Linked DNA regions of Danio rerio. The protein of the gene in region 3 interacts with the protein of the main gene of each other region in a biochemical or structural test. Links are inferred from orthologs where the notes say so. Each region holds a gene or a part of one and is shown on either strand. Other genes may lie near its edges. The genes, in order: tlx1, nek2 and ppp1cc.

What was found.
Region 1: the proteins of ppp1cc (region 3) and tlx1 form a complex in vitro, tested with the Homo sapiens proteins (2 studies listed by BioGRID). The link is inferred for Danio rerio from reciprocal best matches to the Homo sapiens genes PPP1CC and TLX1.
Region 2: the proteins of ppp1cc (region 3) and nek2 interact in far-western blotting, tested with the Homo sapiens proteins (2 studies listed by BioGRID and IntAct). The link is inferred for Danio rerio from reciprocal best matches to the Homo sapiens genes PPP1CC and NEK2.

What each region holds. Positions count from the first base shown.
Region 1 is NC_133188.1:31,652,357-31,660,689, forward strand, and holds tlx1 (T-cell leukemia homeobox protein 1), read right to left. Parts: upstream 5,453-8,333; 5' UTR 5,341-5,452; coding exon 4,884-5,340; intron 3,901-4,883; coding exon 3,663-3,900; intron 2,510-3,662; coding exon 2,299-2,509; 3' UTR 1,094-2,298; downstream 1-1,093. UniProt on the Homo sapiens protein: Controls the genesis of the spleen. Binds to the DNA sequence 5'-GGCGGTAAGTGG-3'.
Region 2 is NC_133195.1:15,119,767-15,123,863, forward strand, and holds the start of nek2 (serine/threonine-protein kinase Nek2), read left to right. Parts: upstream 1-1,297; 5' UTR 1,298-1,397; intron 1,398-1,485; 5' UTR 1,486-1,519; coding exon 1,520-1,615; intron 1,616-2,718; coding exon 2,719-2,936; intron 2,937-3,297; coding exon 3,298-3,538; intron 3,539-4,097. UniProt on the Homo sapiens protein: Protein kinase which is involved in the control of centrosome separation and bipolar spindle formation in mitotic cells and chromatin condensation in meiotic cells.
Region 3 is NC_133180.1:2,462,981-2,471,298, reverse strand, and holds the start of ppp1cc (serine/threonine-protein phosphatase PP1-gamma catalytic subunit A), read right to left. Parts: upstream 5,512-8,318; 5' UTR 5,330-5,511; coding exon 5,275-5,329; intron 1-5,274. UniProt on the Homo sapiens protein: Protein phosphatase that associates with over 200 regulatory proteins to form highly specific holoenzymes which dephosphorylate hundreds of biological targets.

The DNA.
Region 1 (8,333 bases), on a different chromosome or scaffold from region 3:
AACCGACACTTATGTAACACATTATAAGATTTCGGAAGAGATGATGAAACTTAAACCATCTTCCGATGCAGATTGGATAAGCTTCTGGTTAGTTTCAGAAACACCAACACATCTGCACTTAATAGCACAAACACACTTTTGCACTCTCCAGTGCAAAAGACAGACATTAATCATGCAACCAAAACTGTCATTCATCACAGATATCTGGGATATATCCACCATGACATAACCTGAGGTGTTGCTATAGTTACTCAACAAAAAGCGCTAAACAAATCCAACACTATCAGCACGACATTTTATCATGAAGCTATAATTATATAAATATATAAGTCGCGCCATGTCCAAAGGAAATGAAGGAAAAACAGAAGGCTGCTTAGTCTTTCAATTATAAGAATAAGTCGATCTTTCTATGATAAACTGTTATAAACAATTGTGACTTGAAGGTGAACATGGTGCTGAGCATTGATAATTCTCCTGCTCATTTGTGGATTATCTTGACAAATTACTGCTTTAGATGGTTTCCAACCACATATACAACAAAAGACAAACTATCCAGCAATCATGAATTTACAAATGTGACCATGGACCACATTTTTCCATTTATATGATCTGTTAGGATACGACAATATTTGGCTGAGAGAGCCTATTGAAAACATGCAATTCTAAAACTGGAATTCAAAAATTAAAACCAATCAAAAACATTTAAAAAACTGCACTTAAAGATGTCCAAATAAAGTTCTAGCAATGCATATTACTAATTTAAAAAGGTTTCGATACCTATACTCATATAAGAAATATACAAAATATCTTCATGCAACAATTAATTTTCGGGTCACACTTTACAATAAGGTTTTATATTTACTAACATGAACTATCGTTAAGTAAAACCTTTTTGTAAAGTGTTAGCTAATAGTTGCGGCATTAAAAAATCAACAATTTAACCCATATTTTTGGCTATTCAAAAAATGTTCCTGCATGGATTTGTGGTCCAGGGTCACAGATAATGTTAAAATAAGTAGGCTATTTGACAACGAATAATAATTCTGGGAAGTCCCAACAACATTTCTGCATAACAAGTGCTTTATTTCACGCCCCGTCTTCACCATAGTTGCATAACAAATGAAATTCCATTATGTAGACCCTTGTAGACTACTTTTAAATCGTGTCGATTTTTAAAAATGTTAGCCCACTTAGGTTAACAAACGTGCAAAAATTCGGTCCCTCTGTGATTATAAAAAAAAATAGTAACAAAAGCCAAATTGGTAAGCCTAATAATAATAATAATATTAATTTTGTGATAACAGTTTATAATAACTGTAATATTATCCATTTTCTTTCAGTGTAGGAACAAGTTAAAAATGTGCATATAGGCTATTAAATATTGAACAAATCGACTATTTAGTACTTTGAACTTGGATACATTTACTTTTTAATTCCTTTATATTCAAAGTACACCCAATTAAACGATTTTAATAGCTTAATTTTTCAATTCACATTCTACTGACAGAGGGTATCGCGACTGTAAACTGTCAGAAGTGAAAGAGACCGTCGTAAGACAGTAAAAGAGAAACTTTAGTTTTCGCTCGATTGTGGGTTAAGAAGTGCAACCTTTCACCCTGCGTGTGCCTATTCTTTCAATAAAAAGGATTTTAATAACGACGCTTACCGTATATTTCATAGGCTACATCAGAAAGGTGGCGTTCACTATTCGTTTTAGCTTCACCAAACAAGCAGTAATGCTCCTTTTTCTCCACAAAAAAGTATTAGAACAGAGAGCCTTTTTCTAGTGACGGAGGAAGATGTGTGCTATGGCAATTTTATTTATCCATTTAGGTGTTCTAATTTAACATAGCCCATGCACAATTAGTTCTGTGGCGATTTCTGACCTAATATCAATTAAATTAAATTATTATGCTTTTAGAAAAGCCCCTAATTTAACTAAGGCTCGTACGTTTGTTATCTATATTTCATTTGTAAAATGTTGTGATGTTTAATTTAAGGTATTATAAAGTGTTATCACACGCGTCAGATCTTAGAAGTAGGTATGGTATATACCAAATAAAATGAATGCGCAAGAGACAAACCAAATGCGCAATAACAATTTGTTCGTTGCATTTTAAAATGGAAATGATCAAACCTATAAAAATCAATTTCAAAACTGATTATTCTGCACGAGAAAGGCAATTATTAAAGTTACTTTAAACAAGTTTCATGTTACAAATAAAATAGTAATTTAGTTAAAAGAAGTAATGTGCTGTTGGGATATTCCTCTGTACACCGCGCGTCCACAAGTCTCCATCAGTCAGTGTTGGGAACGCTGCTGATTTTTGCCGTGTTCTCAGTCCAGGGCTGCAGGTTCTGAAGTGCGAATAGAGAGCTGTTGTGTAGACAGATTGGGTCTGGAGTAACAGGCTGGTTTATAGTCTTTTGAAAAGCTTCTTGCTGAAGCTGCATTAGAATTCGGTTGGCTTGTTGTCGCTCGGCTTCTCTCTCCTCCGCTGTCTGCCGCCTGCATGGGTTTAACAAAAGTATTTTAGTCAGTGAATCCAGAAAATCTGTATTCGTTCGTATTCATTTGTAAAATCTGCCAGAAATGTATACAGGTAATCTTATTTACAAAGAATACAATTAGCCTATGTTTACCCCCTCTTTGTATGCATAATATATATATATATATATATATATATATATATATATATATATATATATATATATATATATATATATATATATATATATATATATATATATATATATATATATATTGTTGCTTCAAACGAACACAGTTTTTATTTATAGTGTCCAACGTTCCAAAAAATATACATTTTAAATTTATTATAATTATTATAGCAAGCTTACATAGTTCATATAATAGGCTATATAGCTACTTGATGATGTGGATTTGCTAAAATAATGAACTTCGTTTACATATTTCGTTTCATAAACGTTCATATCACTTTTTTCATTAATTTAAAATTTAGTAAAAAGCTGATATAAAATGATATACGTTGGCATGTTTGTATATATATATATATATATATATATATATATATATATATATATATATATATATATATATATATATATATATATATAATTGTTATTTTTATTTATTTTTTTAAACAGGCCAACGTATATCAATTTATATCAGTACATGTATTTGTGTGTGTGTGTGTGTGTGTGTGTGTGTGTGTGTGTGTGTGTGTGTGTAAATATCCTATAATTTGGAAGTTCTCATAGAAAATATCGCATTTAGTCGAATCATCATAATTTATATTTCACATGTCAATTATTAATTTGTACTAAATATCTCTACTAATTTGCATAAAAATGATCTAATCATAAACCTTTTTTAAATCACTATATTGAACATCAGTTAATTAACCTTCGCAACTAAGACTAAAATTTTTAGGTTATATATTGGTTTCACTATAACCTGGAATATGTTTAATAAAAATAGTACATTTAGCCACTGACATAGCTATTGATTGCATCTATATTGAGTGAACAGACCTTTCAAACCTATGGAATGCATTATGAAACTGACCCAGCTGACCTCACGGTTTATTTAAAAACAAAATACTCTGCTGGGTTTAGTGCTGAGACGAAAAAGAATGCATTACGTGTGAGTGTAAAGCCTTGATTAGATCGCAAAAGCTCACCTCCATTTCGTTCTTCTGTTCTGGAACCATGTTTTGACCTGCGCATCAGTCATTTTAAGTGCTTTCGCTAAGGCTGCTCTCTCGGCTGACGCCAGATACTTCTGACGGTGAAAGCGTTTCTCCAGCTCACATATCTGAAGGCGCGTGAACGACGTCCGGGGCTTCTTCTTCTTCGGAGGTGTTCGGTTCTGGTACGGGTGACCTATACGGCGTGTTACAGTGAACGGTGAGAGGGCCACTGGATTGAGAGACAGAGTGAAAAGCAAGCGGAAGAAATCAGCAAAACGACAAAAGCCAAGCAGTGGAAGGCAAATGCGGCTTTTAGAAAAGAAGGTTGACATTGGTCCTTTTAAAACATGCAACAATCACAAAATATATTAAATTAGTTCAGCCAAGCAAGCAAATAGACATGAGTAGGCTATCTCATTTCAAAATATTTCCTAGTAACGTGTTAAATGTTAAAATAATGAATGAAATAAAATATTTAAATAAATGTTAGACATTAAACACTTCATATTCAGCCTTGAATCAACTAGATCACATAAATGAAAGTTATTTTTGCTGTCAAATCAATGACACATTAAAGTAACAACTGTACAATTTCACTCTGCATCGTGTAGCCTATTTAATTTATAAAAAAAATGTTTATACCGCAAATAGGGCCTATCGTGTAAATTATGTATATGCTTAATTGTAATAAAGTGTGATAAATAAATAAATAAATAAATATATAAACCAAAAAACTGACAACCATGTAAAAATTGCATGCCTTGCCTACTTCTTGCATATTACCTTAGGAAAAAAAATCTCTGTGGATTTAATTTTATTTATTTATTTTTGGCCTTCAGATGCATTGCGATCGAAAAAGAGTCATTTGATTATACTTTTAATTAGCAAGGCAAAAGTTTATAGCATACAGAACTTTGAATTGTTTTTAGAAAGTCCTTAAAACATAACGTTCATTTAAATCATTTTAATCCATGAATCTGCGATGGAAATTCAACTAAATTTAAATATTTGCTGGCCTAATATCTTTAAGCTATTTTATGAGTGGGCAAATTTAAGTTTTTCGACCGCTTTAACCGCTGAGAAGTTGAATCATTGATTGCATGTATTTATACATGACGAAATCTTTTTTTACAATGCAAATTTGGAATTACGCATAATTCTGTGTAAACTAGCGCGGGCAAATATTACAGAACATTTAGATGGTCTCTGTACCTGTAAACCTGTCTTTGGTATATCTCCTGTTACTCTCCATCCACGGAAACGTTAATCCCGTGAGATTGTTAATAGTGCCCATGCTTCCCATACTTGGCACCGTGGCAGCGCTTGTGGGAATGGACGAGTGAACGCTGCCCAGCGGCCGGTGTGCAGGAACCCGGATCACTCCCGACGAATTAAGGCAATTTCCGTTAACATTCGCGCCCAAGTTCATGTTGTAGGACCCGACGCTGCAAGAGTTTCCATTGTATCCAGAGGAGTTATTGACGTTGTAGTTACCAGTCATGGTATTGTATGCTGTGCTGACTATGCAGCCCAAACCGTAGTCCAGGTCCTGCATTCTGGGGTTGGTGATCATGCAGCTCCCCTGGTCTGCATTGTTGAGAATCTGATCGATCCCAAAACTGATGGTGTCTGCGTGCGTCTGGTGGAGATGCGCTCCCATATGATCCATGGTGTGGAGAGGCGCGCGCTCCTGCGATCCCCCACGTCACCCGAGTTATCATACAGCAACTAAAACGCAGTTTAGTCCAGACTTGTCGTTATCTAACTGCATTGACTGCATGTGTGAGAAAGACGGAACTACAGACGATTATCTTTTACTGCCCCCCTTTACCCTTATAGCTATAGCCTGCCGGATGGAGCCACGGGAACATCAATCAAAATGCCAAAGAGGCTGGGTAAAATTAAGCCTCCAATTCTGGGCTGAGAGACCCAATTGGCTAGAGAAACCACGTCGAGTGTGTTCAGTGAAATCCACTGGAATTCCCTCTTCAGCACAGGGCAACTCAAATAGATGGTTTATTAAAGCAAAGCACGGCCGATTACTCAAAACAACACAAAATGTCTGCTTCGGTCAGATTATTATCTTGGCCCCACAGCCTCTCTTGTTGTCTTTGGATACATTTGATTTTTTTTTGTCTTGGTCGTCATTTTCACTCTTGTTAGACGACAAAAAAAAAAAAATCAATATTTCGCGGACATCAACTTTTGGATTAGATTTAAAAGAATTACTGTCATTTGTCAGTGTTTTAGAGAGGGTTAAGTCACACAGAGTTTATTAAAAGACAAATAGTGTCACAATGTTACATTTCATTGTGAAATTAAATCAGTCATTCATAGTCGTCTATAACTGTGTAAAACAGCATTCTTATTATAAGATGGGTTAATGTCAAGGAACTAAATGTTTCAGATTCATCGTTTATTTGAAAAATTGTTAGCCATGACATTAATTTAATTCACATAATTTTGGTTACTGATCCGATGCATTGTGACGACTACTTTTATTAATTATTAATTTTCTTTTGTATCCATTAATCTTACTAAATCAGACAATAACACAACAAAATATATTCGGATAGCAAGCACATTAGGTAATCGATTTCCTTCTAGATGAAAGGGGATGTGATTATTTAACGCATTAAAGTATTAATATTTGATGCGCTTTAGATTAATGCAGGCCAAATGACCGACATCAAAGTTTAATGAGTGCAATGGTGTGTATTTTTGCTAAAATTCTTTGTTGTTTGTTTCAGTAATCTAGACTTAATCATAAATGTTATATACGTGAGCTGCATGGTGCTTAAAATACAAACGATTAGTTTGTTTTATACGTTTTAAAAGAAAAAATATGAAGTCAGTAGATGTTGAAAGTGCTGAAATCATTTGGGACGGTCCGATTATGTTTAATTATAGCCATTATTCACTCACCAAGGTCCACTTGAAAAGTGTCATTTATTGCGCACCCACTTAAGGCTTCACTTTATTCATCTGATGCAAACTGATGTGACTGGAAATATATTGACTTAAATTTCAAAACAAACACGTTTATCAAAATGCATTTAAAGAATAAATGCATAGAAAAGAGTTTCTAAGTGAATTCCTATCACTGTTTTTTTCATGCGCAAATCTGTTTTGAGGTTTTCTCGCGTAAAATGTGTGTGCAAACAATTACGGTTTATCCCTTTGATACAATGACAGATTTTCATAATTATTTAATTTTCTTTCCATGACGCTTAAAATAATTTACAGATTGATGTGCTATATAGGAAAACAGTCTTTAAATGTGTCTTCCCCCATACGTGCACCGTTTTTTCGTTAGAATTGTCTGCGGCGCATCATCATCCTCATCAGTCTATACCTGTGTAATGTTTGACATGTGATCTATCTGCGCTCACTGGCGCCGCTTCCATCATCTGCATCTGTGGAGAGCGCGCAGTCCTGCTGCTGACAGCTTCAAGAGCATCTATTCATGAAGGGCTTTCATCTACACGCCAAACAATCAAGCCATTTCGCTTTACTCAAATTTGCAACTATATAGCATCATTCTAAAAATGATAGATTCTAAGAGCGGCTTAAAAAAATCTATTTTAAATAATACTAGGGTCTATAGGGACCCGCAAGGGGCCACAAGGGAGTGACAGGGGATCCATGGAAATTTACATATATTCAGTATAAAATAATATAGAATTGAATTAATAGAATTAATTAATAAGTCTAAAATAAAATAAAAATTTGTCAGATGAATGCAACAGTGTACTGTTAGTAAAATATAAAAATAAAAAGATTTTAAGTGAATAAATACAGTAATATAAGTTCTATATTTTGTATTATGATTTATTACTTCATTTTTTCAAAGTATAAATTTAGTATATAAACATTAAACAATAAAGGTGGTAAATAGTGACCAGCAAAATATGACAATGGTCATATTTGTGGGTCCATGAAAGATGGAAATCCATGCATTACAGAGACAAATATTAAATTTCAATCATCCTTTAGAATTTGGAAAAAGATTCTTCAGATCATTAAAATGTATTTTTTGTTAAGAAAAAATATTTCTCTAAGGAGCTGCTCACTAAACGGTTATTTCGGAAACTATATCTCTTTTAAATTCATATTTTCTAAAGGGCACTTTACAATAATAAAATTGTGTATATAAATTAGATTAGTTAGTTATAAAAATCAAGAGAAACAAAGAAAATAGTTACAAATTTGTAGTTTGTAAAAATTGTTTAATAACTAATTTGAATTTAAATGTATTATCTTTATATTCCTAAATATATAATTGTTTAATAAAATTGTTTTGTTTAAGTGCACCAAAATATATTAGCAATGGATAAAAATATTTTTTTCTCAAATAGGGTTGTACTTATTTGTGCTGAACACTGTATAATGCAAAAACACACTTTTTTATGATCTTTAATTTTAAGAGTGAAATCGTGATTTTTACACCTAAAAAGAACTTAAGGTAGAGTATATGGGAAATCATTGCTTTATACTTTAATCTATTTGTAAAGCTACTGCTGTAGAAGTACAGTTCTCAGCTCCATGACAAAGGAAACAGGCTTTTATTTTTGGAGGACAGAATGTCAGGTTCACTGTCTTTAACCTCTGAAATAGATTGATGAACCCAGCAAATAGAGCTTCTTAATGCATTATGTCAAA
Region 2 (4,097 bases), on a different chromosome or scaffold from region 3:
GGCCCTATTATTCAAGTGAAAATGAATGGTTTTATCTCGGTGTCTGGCAGGCTATTTATCTCGAACTCGTATCCTGTCGTCGGCTGTAAAGGAGAAGTTTGTCAACTTCCATCAGGGCCACGCCCGGAGCCAACCAGCGCCACGAACACAACGCTGCTCCCTAGCGGGCCACCAGTGCACTGTGTAATAGAGCCCTATAAACAAAATCAGTCCTATGTTGCTTAATGTGTAGGCTTTATTTTTATTTTTATTTATTTTTTTTTGGCAAGAAGCAAAATACAATTTACATCAAATTTAATCTATTTTAATGGCAATTATCCATATTGAGTAAACTTCGTATTCCATGAAGACATTTTTGTAACTTTCCAACTATAAATCTTCATAGACAACTTTAAATGGAATTTTTAAATAGTTGTCTCTTGTCTAAATGTATATTACAACAAAAACATAAATATATAAATTATAAATACATATTTCTCATTAATCATGCGTTTGGAAAAATCAGTAGCCAGTTTCTTTTGAAAAAATAAACAAATTGCTTCTTGACTCAAAATCTTTCACCGTTTAAAGCAATGGGTTTAAAGCAGTTCGAAACACCACGGGCTGACGACACCTGCTGGCCACCATATGTATGCAAATAATCATCTTCAGTGTCTGTTGGTTGGATGGTTTGTTTATTTGTTAGTTCTAGATGACTCAGGCTAATATGACATAATCAACACTAAAGATGAATAGGGTAAAACAATAAACAGGTTTTTGTTTGGTTTTGTTACTTTCTATTTGTACATCTAAGAGTGAAATGTTTTTTTTTTTTTTTTTTTTGGAGAGGGGAGTTAGTGGTCTCTCTTTTTATCACTTCATAATTCTAGCTAAATGTATTATTATTAACTGTGATCAGGCAAAACTGTTGTGTGGTTCACCGTTAATGAAGTTGGAAATAGTGATTTTTAATAAAGCTATATGCCTGCTTACGTTACCTAAAGTCAAATCACTAATCAAATAATGATTATAAATAATTACAACTTTGAAATTTGTTCTGACTATTGATGTCAATGGCTGCTCCTTTCCAGCTACTTTATTTTCAAAAGATGAAAGATGTTCATAAAGGTTTGGACAGGACAACTTTAATATACGACGCTGTTCCCGGGCGTTCTCGCGGTTCTTCGGCGCCTGGCAACGTGCACGCTGTGCGTCTGTACGGACCAATGAGATCACTGCCAGCCATCGAGCAGAGCCAATCAGAATCCGGCGTTTGCGCACACGTTTGAAAATCAGCTTATTTTGTCGCGTCTGTTTGTTTCTCAACTCACAAAATACGTACACGCGTTTTAACTAAGGGTAAACAATAAAACACACTGGAAGTAAAACCACAGCGTTCAAGTAGTGAGTGAGTTACGGTAAGTGAACTCATTTCGTTAATCATGTGTTGTGTTATCCTTACAGTTCGCTAATGATAAATAATTGAGGTCTGCTGTATTTGTGAAGTGTGTTTGGATCTGCTGAGTTGCTGTTGAACGCGATGCCATCCAAAACTGAAGACTACGAGGTGCTGCTCACCATAGGATGTGGATCTTATGGAAAATGCCAGAAAATCAAAAGGAAATCCGATGGAAAGGTTGATAACATACCGACTTAACTGAGCTTTGCATAAATAGTATGCTTTTGTATACTTTCTGTAATCGACCTTTAATAAAAACAGCTAATGGTTAAGGTTAAGGTGGTCTTATATTCGCACATTCTGACTTTCTTCTTTAATTAATTTCAGAAAAGTGTTTTTTTGTTGTTGGAAATACTAAATAGGGAAGTCATATTAAGAGCCAATGGCTATCAAAGCACAACATTGTTTTCAGTCAGTAAATAGTGCTGTTGTTGTTTTGAAAGTATACTTAAATGCAATTTAGGTCAGAATATTCAACATGGAATGAATATCAAAATCGGAAGCGTTAAAATGAACGAATATGCGTATTTTAAAACAAATGTTCCTAAATGTTAGGAATCAAAGGCTGAAGCGGTCCCCAAAAAGTTGCATATTGTATCAAGCTGTTTATGCTCAAATTCACGTTAATTTATACCGTTTGTATGTTGGCGTGTCATAATAATCAATATATTGACTTATGAACATATGGACATGACCTCAATAATTTTTTTGTGATTCAATATATATCGCTCATACATAATAAAAACTATTATAGTAACGTTTTAGCTGATTTTGGAGCTCATATTGGATTTGTGAGCATCAGTATGGTTAAAAACACTAGTATTTAGTAGAAATTCCTATTGTATGTTTTCACGTGGGTGTCTGACAGCTGAAAATAGATCTGGTAGCAGATATCACAGCCTCTTTTACTTTTTACCTCACAATTTTTGTTAATATTTATTATTATTCATTTAGTATAGGCATTTTCACACTCTGATTCCAATGCCTAATTATTAAATTGATTAAATTCCAATGCCTAATTATTAAATTGGTTAAATTACTATAATTAAATTAAATATTCATAAGAAAATATGTGTTGTTTGGAAGAGTGTACTTGCATTGTGATGCTATTATATTGTCAATACCACAATATATTTTGGTGCAACATAGAATCAGATATTATGACAGGCCTATTTGTATGTTATGATCTAGTGCAACTAGAAAAGTAATATTGCCAGCTGGTCGTAGCAGATTCTTTGGTGTTTTTCCCAGTGGATTGATCTGAATCATGTCTTATCTAGATTCTGGTCTGGAAGGTTCTGGACTATGGCACTATGGCCGAGGGAGAGAAACAGATGCTGGTGTCAGAAGTCAACTTGCTCCGTGAGCTGAAGCACCCAAATATCGTCCGATACCATGACCGAATTATTGACAGAACGAACACGACATTATATATAGTGATGGAATACTGTGAGGGTGGAGATCTCGCCAGCCTCATCAACAGAAGCATCAAAGACAAGTAACGTTACAATATATGAAAGTTGATCCAAAAATGAACCCTTCCTCATTTTCTCACAGTGGTTTGAAACTTTTAGAAATGTCTTTTTTTCTGTTGAACACAAAGCAAGATATCCTGAAAAATATCAAATAAACCATTGACATTCATTTTTAGGAACAAATTTATTGATATCGGTCGGTGGGTATTTTTTCTTCGGTATCTTCTTTTGGGTTTGACAGAAGAAAGGAACTCAAACACATTTGAAACAAGTAAATATAGACAGAATTTTCATTTTTGTGTGAACAATCTCTTTAAACTTCTGCTGTTTTGTTGTTCAAGCTTCTTCTAAATTACAGATTTTTTTTTTCCCCTTTCTTTGCAGGCGATACCTGGAGGAAGAATTCATCCTGCGTGTGATGGCACAGTTGTCTCTGGCGTTAAAAGAATGCCATGGTAGGAGTAACGGCAGCAGTACAGTTCTGCACCGAGACCTGAAACCAGCAAACATCTTTCTGGATGCCAAACAGAATGTAAAGCTTGGCGATTTCGGTTTAGCTCGCATACTAAACCACGATACAAGCTTTGCTAAAACGTTTGTTGGAACGCCATATTACATGTCGCCAGTAAGTGTTCTTTATCTTGAAGCATTCACCTTTTGTCCATTTATTAATACAATCATTTAAATATGGTAGGGCAGGGGGATGTCAGTATATAAGTGACAGTCTTGTATCCTAATAATCTTTATTTCTTTTACTATGTAGATTGTGTCAAAGCAGCTTAACATAGAAGTTGTATTAAATTGAAACTCTCAGTTCAGTTTTGCTCTTCAGTGTTTGGACTAAGCTGTAAAAATTAAACCACACTGAACTGAACTAATCCATCGATGCTCAGATCCACAAGTCCCAAATTAAGCGAGCCATGATAATCTTATATATCATAGCACTTTTTCTGTAAATTCAGTCAATTAATAGTTTATATTCTGTATATTGAGTTTATCGAAAGCACTATTTCTATTTATTGAGGTAAAGTTGGTTTTTGGGCCATTCCAAACCTCAACATTTATTTTTATAAAAAAAAAAAAAAATGAAAAAAGAGCTCATGAATATTACAATAAATTGTAAGTAAAAGATATTTGAAAAAGTATTGGTTACCAAATTGTTTGTTATACTGCTTGCCTTCTTT
Region 3 (8,318 bases):
AAATTATCAAAGGGGGGCTAATAATTCTGACTTCAACTGTATATACATAAGTAAATAACATGAGTAAATTTCTCTGCTGTGTACTCGATATACAAGACTACAGGATTAATTTCTTACTTACTCAGTTTCATTTCTTACTCAGCACGGGTCATTGTTACAGTCTGGTACAATGAGTACAAAAGCATCTGTTTATTTTTTTGTTATTGTGTCAAGCTTGTAATTACAAGAGTGTGCCTGTGTTCACTTTTCCAATTAATACAACTTCAAGTGTGAATCCTCAAACAATGATGTGATTTCAGCTCCACTAATGACGATGCTTCAAATATGTATTAATTTGACAAATTATTACATAATAAACACTGCTGAATAGTACTTTCTACGTCATTAGCAATTCATTATAATTTTGTGCAATATGTATTTGGTTTATCATTATGCTATCAATTACAATAATGCACCAGGCCTACATAAACGCAAGAGATATAAAACATTAGATGCACAAAACAAGGCTTCAAGTGTCCAGTCCTCTCCAAAAAACAAAGCATAACATGAATAAAACAAATAAACCATTTCTTCTGTAAGATAAATACAACGAAAACACCACAACACTATTCTAACATAGTGCAAATGACTTACAAGACTACAAGACACAGAAACACCTTTTTTTAACTGTTTAATTGCTGCAGGTATGAAACGATTTCTGTATGGTTTAATTTTACAGCTGTAAAGCCATGTGAGATGCTGATATATTTTATACTTTTCATCCTAATAAGTTCATATTTCAATAAGTTCATAAGTTCAATTCATAAATAAATAAAAATAATAATTAAAAATAATAATTAAAAAATAAAACAAATTTGTAGAAGGACTTGGCACCGTGTCGAGCAGCATAACACTGTCCACGGTTATATAACGAGAGCAGACTGCCAAGGGGACAGCCGTATTAATACTAGTCAAGCAGATATAAGTACACTCCTCACGCCCTGCCTAGTTTCTAGGCTGTATAGCAATAAACATGCAGGTGGTGCAACTGGCTCCATCTAAACTCTGAGAAGGCGGAAAAACAGGGTGAGGTTTCTACGAAACACTGTTAACATTATAAAGCATCACGAGAGGAGGAGCTCACATAAAAATAGATATTAGGCTTAAAGAGCTGATATCAAATAATGGCATAATTAGTCATAAAAGTATGCAAAAAGGGAAATTAAGCAAGACTGAATCTGGTCATTTAAAAAAAATCTTCCAGCTGACACAAAGGTTTAGGTCACAACTCATGACATTAACAAACCGATAACTGGCATTATTAGTTTAATAAACTACTAATTTCTGTTTATTAATAGTTATAAGGTAAAAGAGTTTTTTTGGGGGGTTGGGTAGGATTAGGGATATAGAATAAAAACGTAATTTATAACTAATAATCAACAGTCAATATCTTAATAATAGGCAGGTTATAAGCCAGCAGTTTAGCCTGAATTGAGACAGTCAACACCAAGGTACACCACGGTTTGGAAAAGCCAAGGTTTTAAAATGGTGAAAATTTTCTGCAATACCATCCCTAAGGTATGTTTATGATTTTTATAAACGTTTTTGTGTGTGTGTGTGTGTGTATGTGTGTGTGTGTGTGTGTGTGTGTGTGCGTGCGTGCGTGCGTGCGTGTGTGTTTTTAAGACAACAGTATCTTCAGCAGAAGATGCCGTTTTAAATTGTAAAAAAAAAAAGTTTTTAAAACAAATAAAGACAGCAGAAGTCAATAATTCATTTAGCCTGACACATTTTCTGCTCCTAAATATTTTAAATGTTTCTCAAAGTAAAACCTACTGTGTTCAAAAGGGAAAAAAGTTTTAGGTTTTTTCCCAGACATTTAAAATATATATATTTTAGTACAGTAATCCCAATACCGCAAAACTGTGATACTTTTATACAAGGTTATTATACCGTCAGAATCTTATACCGGCCCATGCCTTTAGTCCAAACACATGCGCTATAGGGGAATTGAATAAATTAAATAGCAAGGGCATCCACTGCGTAAAACATATGCTGGATAGTGGATAAGTTGGTGGTTCATTCCGCTGTGGCGAACCCTGATAAATAAAGAGAGTAAGCCAAAGGAAAATGAATGAAATAATGAATGACTAGTGTGTATAAGTGTTACCATATATTGCTTTCCTTTTTCTTTGCTTTTCATCCTGACATTTTATAGCAAAAAAACTCTTTTTTTATGCAGTCAATGTATTCATTAGTTCTGGCCTTGATGTTGATGCATAAACAATAAATCATGGTTATTATTTCTGTAAACATTTCTGGGGATAATTAAAGGTGTGCATGTTCTGCTCACCATGCTTAAAAGCACATAATTGTGCTGTAAATGTTTGCTATTGGTCTTTAGTAAGGTGCATGTGTCTTATATTTCACCAAAGCAGAAACAATGTTACAAATGTAGATTTTAGGGAAAAATATGGCTTTTACATGTTTGCAGACATTTTTTTAATCGGAGTACTGATTTGGAAGATTAATAAAAAACAAAAGTAATAATTTGGGCTGTTGATTGTAGCCTTTAATTTTAAAGCAAAAAGAAAAAACTATTCAAACAAGCAATAAAAACATACAAACAAACAAGATACATCAGGCATTTTACATTAATATATAAGAAAAATTCAAAAACGTTTTTCGGTCAAATCTTTACTGAATAATTATTTAAAACTTCATTAAAAGTCTTCTACAAACATTAAAAGCAGGACAGTCTAATAAAATATTTAACAGAGGAATCTTAGAAAATATGCAAGGAGTAGGGTGTTCCTAATATACTGGTAATATATTTATTTTAAAATAAATAATTTTAAATTTAGAGCCATATTTGCCCATTTGTGATATCACTGACATTTTAAAAAATAAATTTGCTTAATTGTTTTTTATTCATTATTGCGATGTGAATTAATACAGAGATTTGATTATGAAAGTTTGTAATTTAGGCTTTGGTTGCAACCTTATGTTTGTAAATGTTGTGGCGCTTTGAGCTTAGAAAGGTGCATCATAATTAAACATTATGCATTATTATTACCCAAATATAATTTATAGCATCTCTCCATGACAATGTCAAAATTTTAGCGCAGCCATTATTTCACACTGCATAAAAATAAACCTAAGCAATAAAAAATCTTTAAATAAGCAGTTTTATGTATTTTGTGATTCATGTTTTTACTTTCCCCCATTTATTTACGCTTTTGAATTGGATTATTACTTTCCTCCAACAACTTTTAACCTTGTAAAGTTAAAAAAAGTGACTTATTTACTTTTTTAATAGCTTAAAGTGATATACTGTCTGGTTGGTGTTGTATATTACGCTACAAAAACATTGTAACAAACATTTTCTATTCTTTAACAGACTTATTTCTTTAGATATTATTTTTATACATGATATTATTATTTCAAATGACTAAAATGTGAATAAGTCACTTTGTGCACTTTTGATGTTAAAAATACAACAGAGGAGAGATCAACATAGCATAATGCAATTTGCCACCGCAAATAAACCCAAAACACACAAAATAGAGAAACTGTTCACTAATATATTTTTTACAGTGTAAGAGGACAAAGTAAAAGCACATGCATATCAGTATGTGTATGATGCTGAAATCACTACTGCAGAAAGTACAAGTAAAAATGGGTCAAAGCTGCTGCAGTGCTAAATCTGAAGTCAGACCCGCTTATGAAGGATACATACCTTAATAATACATTTAATGTTAGTCTAAATAATAATATCTGCCAATATGAACTGTGTTGCATATAAAAATTAAACAAGCGAGAAATGTTATGTAAATGCATTTCTTCACTGTATACAATAAAACTATAAAATCTTGCATAATCATTCTGCCTTTATTGCACCTGCTGCTTTTATAATGCATTCCAGAAAGCAATTATATTTTGCAAAGATACAATTCATTGTATAATAAAATATAAATCTATTTGTATAGTGCTTTTCACAATAATTCATTTCAAAGCAGCTTTACAAAAGGTGCACATTTCATTACAGTCAATTCAAAAAAAAGCTAAAATGTTGTAAACATAGTTGGGCTCATACACATTTTTACTACTAAAATTTCATGATTTTGCCAAGACTTTCATGTAAATGTTCATGACCTAATGTTTCATGCAATGTCTACATATGCGTGGTAAAAGAAAAGCAATGCATGTTCAAATTTATTAGAGCATAGCATAAAACATGCAACAATCCATTTACTTTCAATTTATATCCATGCAAAATTAATTTAGATAATGCTTACACCGCACTAATAATATGAGAGTATGTGATTGGCCAAGGACAGAAAATAAGAGAAAAGCCTATATTCAAGTATTTGTCATGACTTTTCTAAAACTGTGTAGGTTTTTCTGTTTTTCCAAAACTTTTCCAGGCCTGGAAAATGCCATGTAAAAATTCCATGACTTTTCCAGGTTTTCCATGACTGTATGAACACTGTATAACCTGCAGTTGTACAGGATGTGATGTCCTTCCCCCCCTAAAAAATATATTTACATGTAATAATAATACATGTTTAAAGTCATAATATAAGCAAATACAGTGTTCATATTCAATCAGAATTAAGAGTTTATCATGTTTTAAAGTTCTCATTTTCAACAGTTTCATATTGTTAGTCATTAAATAAGGTTTTAAGATGTCTAATTAAAGCAAGGATTTTTAATAAACATTTTATAGAGATGACACCCTCAAATTGTATAAATTTGGGTTGAACTCAAAAATATTGTTTTTCCTAGCGCTAGAAATCACACTTTTGACATTTCAAGCCCTGTTGTTAATTTTAATGACTGTGGTACACTAATAAACAGCTGTTTTGATGCTCAAATATGTATTCAATATCATAATATCAGCATTAGTCAGTGTACTAACGTAATGTGTTTACTGAAGCACCGAAACCGCGCGTACAGCTTGGCAGTGTCACAAACACCAGTGAACTGCCCACACAGAGTGTATTTTATAGTCAAAAGTACTGTCCATTCGAAACCAACCAATAATATATAATCTTCAAATATATCAGTATAGTGTCTATGTAGAAAACTCTGTATTTGACACACAGCCGTTTGTGTCAGTGAGCAGAGCTAATGCGCAGCTAACTCTCGCTAGCTCAGCTAACGTAACATCCATAAAAACGACAGAGTTGATAGATCAAGCATATACATATACACACACAACCCTTATGGCAATTATATAGTTACTTATGTTATTAAAAGTACATTTTAGCTGTCACTTGGCTTGAAACTCACCCTCGAGCAGGCGCTGAATGATGCTGTCTATGTTGAGTTTGTCGATGTCAGCCATGACTAGCCGATAAAAACACAAACACCACCGCTTAAAACACACCAGACACGACAGATAAAACGACTTCGATTAAAAACAAACTGGTTAATCACAAAACTCTAAAAGAAAAGATTAAAATGCTCGAGCGGGCCCGTTAGACGCGCGTGCTGCGGCGGTGGCGCACCGGCTCTGCGGAAGGACACGCAATTCGGCTCGGTTTCACCGCTGATGGAAACGGGAGGGCGGATGAACACAAAGGAAAGGAAGAAAAGTAGTGCGGAGGAAAGAGGAGGGCGTGCCGCTGACTTTCACAATAACGTGTGACGTTGAATGTTAATTGCAATGAAAAACTTTTAAAAACACATGTTTAAAACATATCCTACACATTAACATAATTATTTATTTTAACCAACAACGTCTTTTGGCATGCTGTTATTACAGTAGACCTAATACAAATATTATTTCATTTGAAAAAATTGCATTATGCATTTAATTTATGCTGATTCGGGTATACACATGTACTAGTATTACATTATTTGACAGTTCTGTTTATGTTAATTAACCAGATGCCTTGTCAACTGTTATTTATTATAATAACCTAATAAAAAATTATTAATTTTGGCATAAAATCTAGTTTTACAGTATTTGACATGACCTTTTATATTAACTAACCACATTTTTTTGTCAATTGTCATTCATTATAGTAAAAAAAATATTATTTAATTTGTAGTATTTTTGCATTAGAAATTAATTAATGCTGATTTTGGCATTAAAAAAAAACTAGTTTTATAGTATTTGACATTACTTTTCATGTTAACTAACCTCATCCTTTGTCAACTGTCAATACCATTACATATTTTGTCATTTGTGGTAAGGTATTTACTCAGTATGCATTTAATTCATGCTAATTTAGGTATTAAAAATACTACAGCATTGCAATGCAGGCCCGTAGCCAGCCTATTAAAAGGGTTCTCAAAAAGTGGAACTTTTTGCAGCTATTCGGCTCATTTTTATCAAATACATTGACATTTTAAGCACAAATTTTTGGATTAGCTTGTCGGATGGTTATCATTACAATACTTTTTGACGCAACAAATATTTTCCTATATTTTTGTCAAAGTGCTTACCATACTATTAACAAAAAATTGTGTTTATTTACAACTGTGCATTTAAAATTTACACTATTACTTTTTACAAATAATGTAATGAGATTAGAATTTAAATTAAACATTTTGAACTAAGAAATTCGAAAAAATACTTATTTTTTCAAATGCTAATTTATTATTATCCATCATAAAATAAGGAATCTGTTCAAAGTTGTTTTAAATTAAAAAACTTAAGCCTATATTTAGAGAAATTATCAACCTACGTCACAGGGGTTCCTGGTGTCAATAGTAATAGTTGTGCGGTAGGGTGCCAAATCCAACTTTTCAAATGCAGCTTAACATTTACCGTACACCACACTGCTTTAATGCCAACTGCAGACATATTTAGCTATAAGGGAGCTGAATGGAGTGAGGACCTAATTAGAAATGCTGGACTCTGCAGTTCTCATGTTATATCAGGTGAGTTCACGCTATGCTGAATCAGACACGTTACTGGTTTTTGATTGCAGCAAAAACAGTTCAATATGGTTAATTAAACTGCGGACACTGAATGCCTAGAATGAAATGTGTGTTCACATAACCTGCTGTACAGGTGTAGTTTGCTGTGAGAATGCAGTAGTTCTGCTTGTTGATGATTATCCAGGCCTTGTACAGCTCCGTCTTCTTTCCTTGTCTTTGGCTGGGCAGAACCTCAGTTTTCAGCTCTACAGTGTTGAATCTGGTTATCATGGAGTATTATTTCTTGCTCAGAGCAAAACTGTTGGCATCCAAAGATTTGTATGTCTTTAACTTCTCTCTTGTAAAACACTTGGAGTTTTAGTGAGATAGTTGTATATTTTGGGCTGGATGCTTGGCCATCTCGTCTTATCCAATATCCATTAGGAGGGTGCTATCACAGATGAACGCTGCTCACTTTAACCTTAATTTTGCTGAACAACTGTGCTTATCACTGGGTGACGAGCTGTTGTAATACGCTGAAAGCATTATGTCAATAATATGTATAATATGTCATCAATATATCTTATCTCTAACACAACAGCAAACTCTGTTCCGCATCAGATGTTCACCATCTCATCTTTTAGGGGGAAATTAGTTCTTGTTCCAGCATCCTGATCACCTCAGATTAATTGCATAATGTACCTCTGAATAAACCACATTAAAAACACTGACACATCTCTGACAAAACAACATTGTGTATAAATTCATTTTTGCAAAACTCACATTTTAAAAAGCTATTACCATATGTTAATTATATGATAAACAGCATGTGCTTTTCTCAACGAAAAGGAGATATTTTTCATTCCTGCCTCAATGAAACAGAACTGTAGCGTCCTCTGGTGTTTGTTTCCTGTAATGTGCACTTACTTTTCATAGCATCTGAACAGATTGTGGTTAGAAACCCAACACATAGCCTAATACAAACACAACAGAACCTAAATGAATAATAATAATAATAATAATAATAATAATAATAATAATAATAATAATAATAATAATAATAATAATAATAATAGCCTAATAATAATAATAATAATAATAGCCTAATAATAATAATAATAATAATAATAATAATAATAATAATAGCCTAATAATAATAATAATAGCCTAATAATTATAATAATGATAATAATAATAATAATAATAATAGCCGAATAATAATAATAATAATAATAATAGCCTAATAATAATAATAATAATAATAATAATAATAATAGCCTAATAATAATAATAATAATAATAATAGCCTAATAATAATAATAATAGCCTAATAATAATAATAATAATAATAATAATAATAATAATAATAATAATTTTTGACACAGCACCACATAATCTGCATATTTATAACTAATATGTATCAACATCCAGATCTGTCTGACTAACCCCATCTCTGTTTTATGTTT